Caenorhabditis elegans: one gene and its partners. The protein of the gene in region 1 purifies or fractionates together with the protein of each later gene. This does not show direct contact. Each region holds a gene or a part of one and is shown on either strand. Other genes may lie near its edges. The genes, in order: usp-46, wdr-48 and wdr-20.

The links.
Region 2: the proteins of usp-46 (region 1) and wdr-48 purify together in Caenorhabditis elegans (affinity purification with western blotting, with the first as the bait; one study listed by BioGRID). This does not show direct contact.
Region 3: the proteins of usp-46 (region 1) and wdr-20 purify together in Caenorhabditis elegans (affinity purification with western blotting, with the first as the bait; one study listed by BioGRID). This does not show direct contact.

The regions. Positions count from the first base shown.
Region 1 is NC_003281.10:9,774,901-9,779,350, reverse strand, and holds usp-46 (Ubiquitin carboxyl-terminal hydrolase 46), read right to left. Parts: upstream 2,729-4,450; 5' UTR 2,714-2,728; coding exon 2,621-2,713; intron 2,573-2,620; coding exon 2,470-2,572; intron 2,412-2,469; coding exon 2,289-2,411; intron 2,230-2,288; coding exon 1,787-2,229; intron 1,542-1,786; coding exon 1,362-1,541; intron 1,074-1,361; coding exon 735-1,073; 3' UTR 501-734; downstream 1-500. Other genes in the region: sqv-3 (Xylosylprotein 4-beta-galactosyltransferase), read left to right, coding at 175-306. UniProt on the Caenorhabditis elegans protein: Regulates the abundance of the glr-1 glutamate receptor in the ventral nerve cord by promoting its deubiquitination and preventing its degradation in the lysosome. Contributes to the regulation of embryonic polarity.
Region 2 is NC_003281.10:4,577,141-4,582,209, reverse strand, and holds wdr-48 (WD repeat-containing protein 48 homolog), read right to left. Parts: upstream 3,329-5,069; coding exon 3,143-3,328; intron 3,090-3,142; coding exon 2,963-3,089; intron 2,912-2,962; coding exon 2,820-2,911; intron 2,773-2,819; coding exon 2,578-2,772; intron 2,532-2,577; coding exon 2,325-2,531; intron 2,278-2,324; coding exon 2,090-2,277; intron 2,046-2,089; coding exon 1,873-2,045; intron 1,828-1,872; coding exon 1,721-1,827; intron 1,671-1,720; coding exon 1,572-1,670; intron 1,519-1,571; coding exon 1,425-1,518; intron 1,371-1,424; coding exon 1,223-1,370; intron 1,172-1,222; coding exon 980-1,171; intron 931-979; coding exon 645-930; 3' UTR 524-644; downstream 1-523. Other genes in the region: F35G12.12 (26S proteasome non-ATPase regulatory subunit 5), read right to left, coding at 77-185, 232-332, 380-415; Serine/threonine-protein kinase sel-5, read left to right, coding at 3,783-3,891, 3,939-3,995, 4,079-4,200, 4,248-4,353, 4,442-4,777, 4,843-4,995, 5,043-5,069. UniProt on the Caenorhabditis elegans protein: Together with wdr-20, binds to and stimulates the activity of the deubiquitinating enzyme usp-46, leading to deubiquitination and stabilization of the glr-1 glutamate receptor.
Region 3 is NC_003283.11:10,129,819-10,136,096, forward strand, and holds wdr-20 (WD repeat-containing protein 20 homolog), read right to left. Parts: upstream 4,333-6,278; 5' UTR 4,310-4,332; coding exon of another isoform or gene 4,277-4,309; 5' UTR 4,243-4,276; intron 4,146-4,242; 5' UTR 4,129-4,145; coding exon 4,047-4,128; intron 3,774-4,046; coding exon 3,469-3,773; intron 3,386-3,468; coding exon 3,318-3,385; intron 3,275-3,317; coding exon 3,161-3,274; intron 3,059-3,160; coding exon 2,919-3,058; intron 2,875-2,918; coding exon 2,747-2,874; intron 2,696-2,746; coding exon 2,491-2,695; intron 2,444-2,490; coding exon 1,678-2,443; intron 1,633-1,677; coding exon 1,526-1,632; intron 1,395-1,525; coding exon 1,113-1,394; intron 1,077-1,112; coding exon of another isoform or gene 1,060-1,076; coding exon 950-1,059; 3' UTR 587-949; downstream 1-586. Other genes in the region: SUMO-activating enzyme subunit aos-1, read right to left, coding at 1-109, 158-335, 382-476; C08B6.8 (putative oligoribonuclease), read left to right, coding at 4,881-4,970, 5,023-5,251. UniProt on the Caenorhabditis elegans protein: Together with wdr-48, binds to and stimulates the activity of the deubiquitinating enzyme usp-46, leading to deubiquitination and stabilization of the glr-1 glutamate receptor.

The DNA of each region.
Region 1 (4,450 bases):
ATTTTTCCTGAATTATTCAAAAAAAAAAACCTTGAGAAAAATTTTAACTTACTGTAGCTGAGATCGCGGCGAGACCCACTAATCAAAACACAGTGTGTGCCTTTAAAATTACGGTCTCGTGGCAAGACCCATCTGAATAAATAAATATTTAATTTCCTATTAGAAAAATTCCAGGTATCCGGTCTCCACGACGTCCGCTACCTCATCGATAGTCGCCAACTCCTCGACTTTTCTGGAACTTCAGTTACCATTATCAATGTCGCCTTACACTGCGATCTGAATTGGACACCTTATTGCAAATCATAGTCCATAATATTATATCATTTATTTATTGTTATCCTCATTCCAGTTTTGCAATTTTCATTTTTTCCAGTCTTTCCCCCCAGTTATTCAGTGCCTTTTCTTACTTTTTTGTACGCGGGTCTCCCCCTCATTCGGGTTCTCATTTGTGATTTTTCAAAAAGATTTAATCGGTTTAATTTAATTTTCCAAGTGCCTTTCAAATTCTAGAATAATTTATCCATAAAATATACAAATGATTACAAGTTTTAAAAAAAAGAAAAATTTACATAACAGCAAAGTGGAGAGATAGTGTGATAGAAAATTGTATGAAACTATAGTACTATGGTCAACAAATTGTAACAGCGACAATTGATGAAAAATCGGAAGGTAAGCTTTTACTCGTTTCAGAAGAGTCTCGGGATGAAATTATTAAACAATTTATAAATTATTCACTAGACGGAGTGTGTACTATTTTTTCCTTTATGATTATGATTTGGATCATCAGCAGCGTAGTCTCTTGCCTGATAGAACAGAATATAGGCAGATTCGGAATTCTTTTGAGGAGCTGATTGATTTCCAGGTGGCATTTGAATATTTGCATCCGTGGACATTCCAGAGAACTCTTCCATTGATGAAACTTCCAGTTTTTCAACAATATCATCATCAAATACCAGCCAAAACGAATTGCTCTTCACCAAAGTGATATAATGACCTCGATTTGGAGTAGCTCCACAATGAACCACTGTTGCGACCAGGTCATACATCCGATCACCGTATTCAGCATCATCGCTCTGAAAATTTGATCATTATTATGCTGCGGAGGAAAGACGTGGTCTCGACACGGCAATTTTTGTTGAATGCAGAAATTAAACAGGGGATACTGTAGTTTTGAAATTTCGTTGCTGCGGAGTTTTTATAATTTTTACTTAGTTTTTTCTTTCTTTAAATTTGTCGGAAATCAGTAAAAAATACGCAAAATTTTAAATGACAGTACTCTTTAAAGGGGCGGACGCCTTTTTGCATTTAAAATTGTCGAGTCGAGACCGGGAACCGTATTTTTCAGTCAAATATTTACGAACCACATTGAATAGCCGCAATTCCAGTGGAAATACAACTCGATAAGAAAGCTTTGTGTGTCGATTCAGAGGTTCGACGAATTTAAATCGTTTCAGATGGAGAGCCAGCAGTTGAGGAGGTTTCTTGATTCGCATTCGCTTTTGAGCTTCCTGTTTCGACGAGCACGTTTCGCAGAAATATTTCTGAAATAAAAGAGAATTAAATTTAAGAGAAACTATTTGTGATTTTTAAATATATGATAAAACAAGTTCGATCAAATTATCAAAAATTTTCGCAATTTTTGATAGTTTTTCTTGTTTTCGAATTTGAGATAAAGCAATTATTTTTGCAATGTTTTGTCACTGAATTTCAATGAAAAATATTGAGAGACTATGCCAAATTGGCTCATTTTGTTAAAAATTTCTTCCAAAAAGATCAAATTAAATACCTGATCACCACAAAGTGTCTCCGTTTCACTAAATACCCGTAGACAATGGCTAATTGAAGTATTCTGTTCCACATCAATCGATAAATCCAGAAAATCTTCATCTTTACTTGACACAGTTTCACAACTCAAACACCTCGTCTCATTTGTCAAAATTCCTTGAAATATTTCATGAATCCACGTAGTAGTGTCAGATTTATTCAAAAACTCGTTGCCTTCCACCGTAATTCCACCATTTCGTTCACTCGTTCCTTTTTCATCTGATCGTGGAAGACCCGCAGTGGCAGGTGCCAAATTAACTGTGACATTTCCTTTTTTGAGTGTTCCGTGGCGAGACGCTTTCTCTCGTTCTGCGATTTTCTCTTGAATTAGTGTCTCCGATATTGTATTAATGAGATAATTGAAAAATTCGTGAGCGTCTTGTTGCATGTAGTTGTCGAAGAGCTCTATAAAATTAAACTAATAGTCTGATTATTGGAAAAATAATTTTTAAAAAAAACCTCACCATTTTCTTTCTTTAATTTAGTAATAAATCGTTTTGGAGCAATTGTTCCTACTCTTCGTTTTTGACTGGCAATACTATGAAATAGATCAGCTAGACACGTAACCAAGTTGTCCTTTGAAGCGCCTGACAAAATTAAATTTTACTTTAATGATTTTTCTAAATAGAATTTTTAAATACTAACCCGATTTCTTCAAAGTTTGCTTGTAATTGAGAACTTTTTCTCGAAACGGCCGGCAGAAGAACAACGCCTGAATCACTGAGTTGCAGTAACATGTATTTCCAAACTGAATAAAAAAGAATTAAACTCGATAAACTCGATAAATTCCACTGACATTTACTAGCCCGTAATAGTGTTCATTGGCATTATTAACTGACTCAGTGGTACTGATCTCCTTTTCCAGTTGTGATGATCCAGTAGCTCCCATTGAGTGTGCCAACAGCTACAAGAAAAAAACAGATTTTCAGAATAACGGTTACTAGCGGAACAACGTGAAATAGAACGATAAAGAGGGGGCAAAGAAGGGGAGACAGAGAGTGTGGGCAATAGCGATGAGAGAGAACACAGCCATCTCTCTTTTTTTCTTTCGCCGTCTCTCCGTCTCTCAGATTTGCTGTTCTACAAGTATTCCCATACGTTTGCAGTGTGTTTCGCTAAATTTTGCAGCCTTAAAAACCTTAAAATATTTAAAATAAGTATTAGAAGAAGAACTACCCGAACAAGACCAATCAAGAGAGATGGAAAGTACAAAAATAAAATAAAATTGTGATTTTAAAAATGTTCATTAGTTATTTTACTGATTTGAAACCTTGAAATAGCTTTTAACTTCTAAATAAACAAATAATCGATAAAAAATGAATTGAAAAATCGTTAAAATAAATTAAATATGAGTGTACGCTAGAGCGCATTAGCACCTTCTCGATAAAAGTTCAAATTGCCGCCACGGAAGAGACACTATCGAATGAATAACTTTGAAAATGGCGAAACGTGGAGTGGCATGACGTTCTATCTGCAGGCATCTGGTTATCTGATCTGAAACAGAAATTAAAATTGTTCAAAATTCGATTTTGAACTCAAAAAATCAACTAGATTCCAAACCACGCCTTTTCATTCGATGCACAAGTTGAAACGTGGTATCGGGCTGTCCCATTACGGTTTGATCTACAAAAAATGCGGCGATTTTTTTGCTCAAAAGATGTGACGTCAGACGTTCTTAACCATGCAAAATCAGTCGAGAACTTTGCGTCTAAATTCCCGCTTTTTTTGTAGATCTAAGTAGATCAAACCACTATGGGACATTCTGACACCACGTGCTACTGGAGATGCAGCACTAACAGAGAATATACAGAACATACACCTGTTCTGATATGATGTACAATACCTACTCAGAACACTAACAAATTAATATAATTTTAACTTTCAGGACATCTCTACTGAGTGCAGGAAAGGAACAGAAGCTCGGGCTCTGTTTCGCTTCCCGATCACCTATAACTTCGTGAATCGCACAGGAGGATGCAGCCCATACACAAGTTCGACATCCACCAGCATTCCGTACGTCTTGTGCAATTTGAAGATCGGCCAAACATTCTTGGATTGCATGCAGTCGAAACAACAAAAATGACGGAAGCATCATCCTGCAGTCAGTCACAGTGGAAAGCAGAACCGTCGCCTAGACTTCACCGAATACAACTCGGAGTATCTATGGATTCGAGTGTATAAGCACGATGATCAACCGATGGAAATGTCTACCACCAATCCGATGGACTTCGTGGGCCACAACTTTCTGCTCGTTGGGTTCACGCAGACTGTGGAGACCCCAACCTCGTTTCAATCATTTGCTTGGATAAGAGAGGAAGGTGGATGGACACGAGTCGCCGATGAAGTGGAGTTCTACGAGAACAAGGTGAATTTGGATACGATCAGGACTGATGAACTTTTCCTATTCAAGAAGATCTGATAACTCGCTGTGTTTTTAGTGTTCTAATAAAAAGTATTTTAAAAAAATGTCTTCTCTTGTTTCCTATTCGCTCGTTTTTCTCTATCGAATTCCATAAATTTAATTTTTGTTGAAAAATTAATTGTTAATAAATCTATTTCATTTAAGCATCAAAACTTTGGTAATTTGCCAAAACTGCCAAAAAGTCTGAAAAGTTTGACGAATCTA
Region 2 (5,069 bases), 5.2 Mb from region 1:
AAGATTGAGATATTACAATTTTTATTAGAATTTTTTTTTATTAGATTAGAATAGTCTAAAAATTGATGTCAGGTACCTGATGATCGACAAGAAGATCTTTGGTTGAAATATCTCCAATAATCAATTTTACAAGCTTGCTGGTGCTGAAGTCATCAAAATCAGCAGCGGCCACGTCATCTTCTGTTCTGAAATAATTTCATTTTGATACTATCTGATATTCATTTAACGTACTCCATTTGCTGAGCCGCTTCAATTTGCATCTTTGCAAGTTTTTCCAGAATCTCCCATCCCTTTTTCGAACTGCGTTCTGCGATGTAATCGTTTCTCCACTCCTGAAAAAAATTGGCTTAAAATTGGAAGAAATTTCAATAAAACCTACTTCGATCAGTTTTTCATGTTCTTCCAAACTAGCCATCTGGAACGAATACGGTAGGAGGTAAAAATATTAAGCAAGAAATGAAGATAAGCTGGTAGTTAAACCATCATAATTTTAAAAAAGAAAGAAAGACATATGGAAAGAGCATGGAATTTAATTGAAAGTCGGTTTTACCCGTATCAAAAAAGAAGTTAGACAGTGAATTTTCAATAAAGTACAAATGTTAGATAAGTATGTTCAAATAAATAACTTAAATTAAATGTTAAAGCTATTTAACTGGTTTATAATGTAGAAGAAGCTCTCCACTTTGCTTCCAATAGAGATGCTTGACTGTTCGCAAATCCATATCCGGCTCCAACCTCTGATCATTGCAGTACATTTCCATTTTTGTATGAATTTGATTTAGTGGAATCGAGCCAACTGTAATATCTTCAAACACCATTAATATCTTCTTATTTCTAAATACCTTACCATCATTAGTGCTGAGTATTTTTTCGTAAACATGCTCCATCACTTTCTTAACTTGAAGCATTTCAGTTGCTGACAGACGATCTCTGAAAATAGTTCAAAATTTTAATGAATGAACCCCGCGTTTTCACAAACTTTTTAGGCTGTTTGGGATTTGTCGACGGATGTGGAAGAAGATAAAATGGCATTTTATTGAATTTCGGCAGCTGATTTCGTTCGATTGCGTCTATAACCCACATGGGTGCAATTTGTGCCAGCTCATTTGCTTCGAACTCCTTCCCAGCGTCGCCAACAAGAAGACGGTAGAGCGGACGACCATTTCCTTCGCTGAAATTAGTTTTTTTAATGTTTAAAATTTGAGCCTTCAAATAATTTTACCAAATAATAAGCGGTGTGTGTTCCGGTAGAGAAATAAAATTCAGTGTTGCTTTTTGCACATCATCTGCATCAGCTGCATCAACATTTGTCATTTTACAAGGTGGCCATCGTTCGAAGAGTGATCGTAGCATCATTCCACCGTAATTCACTATAATTTCTTACAAAGGAATGAGAAAGTTTTTATTTTCGTATAATATCTTACGTTTTGTCTCTCGATCATTATCATCAAAACCTGCGTCTTTTGATGAAAGCCACGAGGAGAGAGCGTCCAGCTCGTCCAAAGTGATTTGGAGCATCTGAAATCGAATAGGGTTTTATTTTTCAAAAATTTATAAAACTTAAAACTCACTCCACTTTTTGAATCAACGACAAACCAGCTTGGAATGTATACTTGCCTAGAGTTCTCATCGACAACTTCTTCAAATATTCGCTTTCCATAATCTTTTATCTGAAATTTTATCAAAATTCAAGTAGTAACTTTTAATAATGGGGACAAACCTTTCTTGCTGCTAAAACATCATATAGCGCCACATTTCCATCCGAGTCTCGTGTCAAAACGTGTCGTTTGTCGCTCAACATGGCATGTTTCTTGATGGCAGGAGCGCCTGAATAAACAGATTAAAAATTATATCTGCATATAGTCTGTTTACCAGGAATAACGAGCTCTGGTGTGCTCTGTTGTCCTTTTTGATCCTTCACTCGGATATACTTGAATGTTACTGGAGGTGATGATGAAGCTGATACTGAGTGATTTGCATTTGAAGTTGAAGGACCATCTTCGTCTCCTCCAATCGAAAGTTGGGCTGATGGGCGGATGGACCAGCTGAAAACTGAAAGTTTATTTTTTTAATAAAATAATTCTTTTACCGCTTGATATCAGACTTCCAGGTTCCGACCCAAAGAGATACTGGATTATCTTTTTCACTTAAAAGTAACTTTTTCACAGGGGCTTCTTCTTTGAACAGAAGCTGACTTTTAGTGAAATCATATAACGGAGTTTTCACAACCATTTTGTCCTTTCCTGCGCTGTAAACCGTTGTAAACGATGAGTCAACCTAAAAATCATAGATTCTAATAAGATTTTATCAGAGAGGATCAGTACTTGAAGAGTCCAAACTCCTTCTTCATGAGCAATACACGTGGCAATGCATCTCTGTTGTCCAATGTCCCACAGTCGAATTGTGGCATCTGATCCAGCAGAAAGTGCGCGTGTTCCATCATCATTGACCACCAGCGCACGTACATTATCTGTGTGACCACGTAATTTCATTATTTTCTCATTGGTTCTTGGATCGAAAAGGCGAATGCACTGAAAATAAAAACTAGTAGAAGGCTAGAATGCTAAAATTCCTCACCTTTTCCGTTCCAGCACCAAGAACAAGCGATAAATTAGGAGTTGTGGCGAGTGAGTAGATGCTGTCCTTGCAGCCAATTAGATTATTTACAGTTTTGAAGTTAGCATTGATATCGTACACGAAAATATTGTGATCGAAACTTGCGCTCACAGCTTTCTCTACAATCGGTGCGTAGGCCAAGCAACTAACGTAGTCCTGAATTTTATTCATTCTTAATAATTAAAGAGAAAAGTTTCACAAACCTTGTGAGTTCGGATACAATCGATAAATCCGTGCTTGTTGTCCCGTTCGATATTCCAAACTTTGACAGTTGTGTCATTTGAGGCCGAAATTACTGAAAGAAATATATTTATATAATTTGCAGAAATATCGCAAAACCACTCACGAATTTTTCCATGTCCACAAAGAATCATATCGTTCACCCAATCGGTATGCTGTTCTAATGATCCTTGATACTGAACTGGAGAATTCTTTCCTGGCGAACGAACTCCGCCACGTGCCGAGAAAGCGTCCTGATCATGAATTTATTCGGTATTTTTTAGAATTCATAGTTTATATATCAAACCTTGTGGTGTGGCACTGACCATGTTCTGATTATAGTGTCACTGCCGCCAGTGAACAGTCTTCCGTTTTGTGCATCATATTGCAGAGCACTGACAGCCGAACGATTTGAATACTCGTGCTCATCGCGAATGATAAATGAGATTTTCTTTTTTGGACCAGTTTGACTGGTATTTACACAGCTACTCATTTTATTGCATTGAACGCCTTTTGAGATCTGGAAAATAGTGATGACAAATATTTCTAGTTAAAAGATTCATCGATTTGCGAGAAAAAAGTTATTTTTAATGCAAAAAATTAATTAACGGTATCTTATATAGAATGTTATGATGGTTTTCAGAAAAAAAAATGAAGAAAAACAAAAGTATACGGCAAATTATAGACTTTTGTCAATAAAAACAACAAAACATGTTTTAAAAGAGCTCTGTGCGAAAAAGACAACAAAAACTGCGCCGCATGTTTGCAATTCAGCCACGCCCATTATTGCGCCCCGCCTCCCTGCGTTCCGACACTCTTTTCTCCTGTCGATCAATTTGTTCGCTCGAGAAAATCTAGTTTTGATGAAAATTTTTCGTTTTTCGATATCACTCTCATCAAATATTGAAACTCTTTTATTAAAATTTACTAATTTCAGGCGAAAAGCCATGCCTCTAGGGCTTTTCAGCTCTGGAAAAGCACAAGTTCTGTGTGATGAAAAAATTCCTGGAGGCAAGAAAAAGGAACCGAAACAATTAAGTGAGAATAAATGCAAAGGTATTTGAACATTTAACAGTTTCTTTCATTTTTAATTGAATTTTCAGGTGTCACATTGAAGTTAGACCATACACGAGTCACTATAGAGAAGCAAATCGCCGAAGGTAGGTTTTTTAAATTTAATCCTCTTATTAAACTCCATAATTGTTCTTGTTTTTCTGAATATTTCGCAATATTTTTCTTCCAGGTGGATTTGCAATCGTCTACGTTGCGAGCGATAGAAAAAACAATAAATTCGCCTTGAAACGTCAATTCACCAAAGACAATGAGAAACAGCTGGAGGCATGTTGCAGAGAGCACAGTTTTCTGGTGAGAAGAAGCTCGAATAAACTTGCAAATGTTGTATGATCTTTCAGAAACAATGTATTGGTCATAAAAATATTGTGGAATTCGTTGACAGTTATACAAATTGCCTTGGAAATGGTATTTGGGAATGCATGCTGTTGACAGAATATCATCAAAGTGAGTGAGATAACACCGGAAAATAAATCATAATTAAAATATTAAATAAAACATGGAAAACTTTGAAAAATCATCATATTTTTTCCAGAAAACGTCTTGCAATTGATGAACGAAAGAATATCTCAAAACCAATATTTAACAAACGACGAGATTCTCTCAATTTTCACGGATCTCTGTGAAGCCGTATCCTTCATTCATAATCGGCCACAACCTATCATTCATCGCGATTTAAAAGTTGAAAATGTACTCATTTCTTCCCATAAACCACCACATTACGTTCTCTGCGATTTTGGAAGTGCTACCACTCAAATTTTATCTGTGGAAAAGTATGGAGTAGAATATGTGAAGTCAGAAGTGGAAAGGAATACGACTATGTGTTATCGATCGCCTGAAATGATTGATTTTTACAGTGGATTAGAGATTGGTTCGTTTTTAGTATTAAAAAATTGAAGGAATGCAATGAAAAAGTCGAATTCTTTATTTTTTCAGGCCTAAAATCTGATATCTGGGCACTGGGCGTTCTTCTATACAGGCTATGCTTTTTCTGTGTTCCTTTCGAAGAATCACCGTTAGCAATTCAATCTGTCAATTATCAATTTCCATCCGTTCCAAATATTCCCGACGAGATCAAAGTTTTGATTTGTAAGAAAATGATATTTAAATACGAACAAAAATACTTGATTTTCTAGACATGCTTCTCGATATCGACGTAAATC
Region 3 (6,278 bases), on another chromosome or scaffold:
AATACTCTTCGATTTCCGAATCATTTTTCGATAGAACATCTTCCTCGACGATGAAAAGTTTCACATTGCGGTTCAAATTATAAAGAAAATTGTATGATGCCGCCCATTTCTGAAAACAACGTTCATAAGATATGTATAATTCGAATTAATTACAAACCGTCATCTTTGAATTATCAACCGAAGCGTCGTAGAGAAAATTCATACCAATTTCTTCTGTATCAACAAGCCGATGATCAACTAAATGCATCTCGTCAACACCAGCGAGTGACAGAGTTTTTGCCACTTCCGCACCAAGCTGTTTTCCACCAATAATCAAAACTTTAGAGTTTCGGATTCTGAAAACGAAACAATAGTATTTTATTCGAAAAAATTTAAACTTACTTATTTTGAGCTTCCATTCCCCATAAACGAATTTGTCGATCGTAAATCGCCTGTTCAGCTTTGCTGACCTCCATATTTTCTTTTGCTTCGGACATTCTGCAAATTATGGCAATCACAAAAAATATGAAAACATTTAGCAAAAATGGTTAATATGAACGGCAAGGTGAACCGAATAAAATCGAGAAGAAGTAAAATAACGATATTTAAATAAATACACAATTCATTAGACCAGAAATTAAACAACGAGAATGAAACGGGGTGAGTTTTAGGGTGAAGAAAAACTAGGCACATGGATCCTACTGGCACAGTAATATAGAAAATTAAATCTGCGAAGTTGGAACGTTAAGTCATTAATAAAAGAAAAATGTGAGCAGGTGATCATAGTTTGCAAACAATGGCAAACAACTTTGCCGGGCTTTACAATTAGAAATAATCCAGAAAAATCATGTTACAGTATACATCCTAAAGATCAGAGCATTACGCTTGACGACAATAAATAAGATTAAGTGAACAATAAAAAAGAATAAGAACCTAGTAAAGAAAATTTAAGATACCCGAAGTGGAGTGGTTAATTTGCATTCTGCCAGGCATATGTTGGGCGATGATAAACAGAAGTACTGGCAGCTGAAACCCGGTATGACGGGGATGTGATATTCGGTGAACGAAGTTGTTGTTCGCCTAAGTAACTTGGAAAACTTTTAGAGACATTTTCTTAGATTAAATAAACTCACTATTACTGTAGGTACTTGATGATCGTGAAGGTGGAACTCCATTCAAAGCATCTGAGCCGTATCCATATGAAGAAGTCATAGCGGACGTAGATCCAGATGGTTTTTGACCTGATTCCGGACTTGCTGTTCCTGGTGAATTGATGCAATCTCGTTTTGGTTGATATCTGCCGGGGCGGCCCCATGTGCAGATATATCCCTCTTGACAAGCAGTCACAACACAATCTTCTCGGAATTCAAGAACTGTCAGACGATCATGCGATACTTTTTTGCACATTAACGGTTCTGAAAAATATTTCACAAGTGCTTTCTCGTTCATTTTGTCTTTTTTTTCGTGATAGAAAAATGATTCAAAAATTTCGCGATTTTCCGGATCTGACTAGTGAATCGTATTTTAATTTTAAGTATAAGCTTACCGATCATAGGAACATCTCGAATCCCTGGACAAAATTTAGAACCCAACATCCGCGTTTCGTTACAGCAGCTTATTTGAGAAATTAGCCCGGGGTTTTGTTTCTTGGAACTGAAAATTAACATATTATTATAAATTCTGAATAAATCGACATACCTTTCAGAATTTACTGATGCACCATTCATCAATGTGCCAATTTTGTGGCCACCAACCGGATTTGATGTAGCACTGGAGCTTCCAGAAGTAAACTTCGAAAATCCTAGACGTTTTGTAAATTTCTTCTTTTTTTGTTTTTCTGGGCGAGGAGTTGTGTGATTATTAGTTATAGACTGTGAATCAGAAGATGCATTAACACCAGCACCACCAGGAGAGACTTCCTGAAGATCTTCAAGTCTTCCAACTAGAGAATTCGTCTGTACTTCGAGGGTAGTCATTGGGGCAATTATTGTTGAATTTCGATGACGTCGAATGTTTCCTTGGTTCAACATATCTTCTGTTATATCCCACAGGCATAGAAATGTGTCGTGTCCAACACTTCCTATTCGATAACGGACACTGTTTCCAGCTGGAGCTCCGTTGATAGTGTTAAACGAAGCAAGTGAACAACGAGAGAATGTTGAAGTTGCATTCATCACTCCAGAATTCAAATCTGCACTAGTAGATGGTACTGGTCCCGAACGTATTGAGAAATCCTTTGCAACGTCGTCAAACGTAGATGTCATCGCAATACCATTATTTTCCAGATCTTCTTCGGTTGTGCATAAATAAGGATCAAACTTGACCTGACTAACCCAACTTTTGTGAGCTTGTCCTCTGCAAACTACTCGTTTCTCAGCTACACTATAAACTGTTAGAAGATCATCTTCGCCGCCAGTGGCAATCAATTTTGCATCAGGGCTCCATGAGAGCGTAAGCAATCCACCTTAAATTTCATGAATATTTGATTTTTTTCGAAGATAATGAACCAACCGAAATATGATTTCATAACTGCCAGCAATTCTTGTGCATGATAATTGAAAATCCTGAGGAACCCATCATGTGACACCGTGGCCATCATTTTCCCATCTGATCCAGAGAAACTGAACTGGTGAATTGAACCTTCTCCAATTTGCCACCTGGTAACTGGATTCCGCTGAACTTTGCCTTTCCACGTGTGAATCGCGAACTTGTCACCCTGCAAAATCAATATAAATATATGCTTCCAATTTTAGAAACAAAAAGAAACCTCTTTATGAATAGTCCACGGCGGAGGCTGTGAGCTTCCATTATTGTTGCTACTCGCAGCAGAAATTCTTTGGTCATATACATAAAGATTGCCCGACACATATGACGCCAAGAAAATGTTTGAATCGCCTGAATAAAATATTATTGAAAACGAGTTTGTTTCTATTACTTACCAGGTAGCCAGCGGATACATGTGACGGAAGTTTTTTCGATGTATCTATCTTCATTGTACAGTCTGCTGAACGGTGATGATGATGATTTTTCTAGTGGGTCGATGATTTGTAATTGACCGAGAGTGAACCCTATTAGCAGCCTGAAAAGTATTAAATAATTTTGGAAACAATAATTTTGTCAATCGGTCATTATAGTATGTAAGGAAATGTATAAAATTAGCTCCAACGTTTGATAAACTTACTGGCATGATCCATTTTTAGCCGATTCCTGGTTAAAAGCATGATAAGTCGGTGAAGTACCTTTATAAACTCTCTTGTCGATCGGTCGAGATAAATCAGTTTCAGTTTGAGTTCCTCTGAAAAACAATAAAGTTTAAAGCTATCGATGAATAATCTAACCTATACGAGAACACATAAAGTTCTTTTCCAACATTGAAGCAAATCTTGTCAGCCTGTGCCTCATCCACCTATAAGTACAAGCATTCTTCAAGGTTGGGAGTTATCTTTTTGTCTGATAAAATCTACGATGTCTTGCAGAAAAAAATCTCACCATGTCTATTCGTGCTCCATTCGGCTCATTTTTATGGTGTTCGTAAGTTGAACTAGTTGGTGCCACAGCCTCGGGAGATTCCACACTTTTCTCTGCGCCATTGAGAAAGCTTACACGAACAGTAGAGCCCGCAGCTGCTATCTGACTTGCAGCAGCCGATGCGATTCCCGGTGGCATGTGGTACTGTGGAAGGGGCCGAGGACGCGAGAATTCGGCCGATGGGACGCTCCGATAGACACCTTCTCGCGTCTCGAAGTTTTTCTTTATCTCTTCTCGTGTAGGTTGAGAATGGGAAAGAAGGACACCTGCAAAAAAGCATTTATGGAAAAGTTTACCATTTGGCATGCATTTTATAATCTAGTGGATGCATCTTCGAAACGTTTTTTAATGAGGAACACTACTTATCGGAATTTGCAAAGAAACCTCAGAGGATTGAATTCGTCGATATTTAGAGATTGTCTAGATTGTCCTTTGAACTTTTTTCAATCTCATGAGACCTTATTAATCTAAAGCAATGACAGTAATGACATAATCATAAAAATTGATCAACATACTTTTCAAGCCTTTAAAAAACTTACCTTCGGAAAGAACAGAAGATTGAAGAGCAGAATTATTAGTACCACCTAGCGAAGTTGACGGTCCAAGCATATGCTGATGCATCATCGTGTGAAACCAGTCTTCAAAAAACTTTAATACAACGATGACAAAATGATTTTCACAGGGGAACATTGCGAAATTTTAAAACCTTCATTTAAGTATGACTTTAATACAAACCTTAGCTTTGAGAATATTCGCGACATTCCGCATTTCAAGCCCGTCTGCTCATCCTTAAATTTGTCAATAAAGCAGAATTGTCAAATATCTGGAAAACTCGTTTTCAGAACAGATGACGGCTTTTGAGTTTGGGGTTTTAAGAGAAAAGAGAAACAATTCCAGAGGGGCAAAACACAGATTAAAAATGTTTCCAGGAAAAAAACAAGTTTTCAGAAAACGGGAATCAGAAGATAGAAGGAAGACACTGTTAAAGTTTGATATTTCATACCGTTGAATGCGTCGCGGCTCTAAACGCTACGCATGTCTGACGGAGCGCACTTGCACTTAATTTCTTTGTGTTGAATTTTTATCCGTTTTTCTTGAAAGTTTTTCTGGATGTAAAATGTTTTTTTGAGAAAAATTAACAATTCATAGTGAATTAATTTATATTTATTAAATGTTAAACTCTAAATTTCGATACCTACATGTTATCTGTTCTTTTTTACGCATTTGGAAACGCGGGTATTTAATATATTATGAAAAACAGTCTACGTATTGCCTAATATGATTATTTTTCCTCATCTTCATCCGCAATGTTTTCAGAGTGCATGCTAGGAGCTCTTTTAAAGTCAATCAATATACCTATCAGCCGACGCGCAATGTCTACACTCTACCATACCTGTGACAAAATCGAGCAACGAATCATTTGGATCGACTGTGAAATGACAGGCCTGGACGTTGAAAAGCAGGTTAGTTTTTTGTATTTTTTAAGAACTTTGTTAATCGATAAAACTTTTTCAGACACTCTGTGAGATTGCTTTGATCGTGACAGACTCAGAATTGAATACAATTGCGACTGGGCCAGATATTGTTATTCATCAGCCAAAAGAAGTTCTTGACAACATGGAAGAATGGCCAAGAAATACGTTTCATGAAAATGGTTTAATGGAAAAAATAATTGCAAGCAAGTACTCAATGGCTGATGCTGAAAACGAAGTGATCGATTTTCTCAAATTGCACGCTCTTCCCGGTAAGACAACTATTTTTCAAAAATAGAGTAGCCAATGGAATTTATTCAAAACGATAATAAACATTTATTTAGAAACTTACCCTCGAAGTTTATAAGATATAGAATTTTAAATAATAAGAAAGTTATGTAGGAGCTGAGCGTCCTTATTTTCTTTATAAATATCGGCAAATCTGCATTTTCCTCTCTTAAATCGCGTGTGTGCCACGGGTAGGTGTTTTTGAAAAAACTTTGGACATCCGATGTCGCGCAAACCTTCGTTTTTTTTTTCATTTTTGATGTGTCCAAGTTGGCAACGCTTATAGCTCAGCGCTGGATGGATGAAAATTCGAGCTCTTTTTTTTCATCTCTTCAAAAAGGCTTTTCCTACTTTTTGTTTTTTACCGTTTCTCGATCTGAGCTCATTGAGCCGAGATATTTTGAGTCAAACTCAAAAATCGCTATTTTTCCTCATTTTCCGGTGGTTTTAATTGAAGGAAAATTCGAATATTTGAGATTATTTCACGATTTTTTAGGGGTGTATACAACTCGACCAGCTCTTTCCAACGTGTATTTTGAAAAAATTCTACGACTCTTTTAAGCTATAGAAGTGGGCTCTTTAGTGTGAAATCGAAAATTACATTTTTATTGGTGTGCAAATTAGCGATTTTTGATGGTTTTTCGGCCATAAGTCGGTCAGTTTGGCACTTTTTGGGGTAAATTTTTCGAAAAACGTATTTTTCAGGAAATTGTCTCTTCAAAAATATAATTTTTTTTACAAAAAAGTCAAAAATAACTTCAGAAATCGCAAATTTCATGATTTTCTCTAAAAAATGACGTTTTTGCTGGAAAAATAAAAAATTTTCCACTACCGAATGGGATTTTATGTTAAATTCGTAATTAGTACATAAATGCCGAATGGATGCTGAAAGCACAGCTCTCTACGACCATTTTCCACGATTTTAGTTTATTTAATTTTTGACCTCGAAATTTCAATTTCCCTCTTTTCCTGGACCAGTTTTTCACTGAAATGTGAATGTTATGTCCTAAA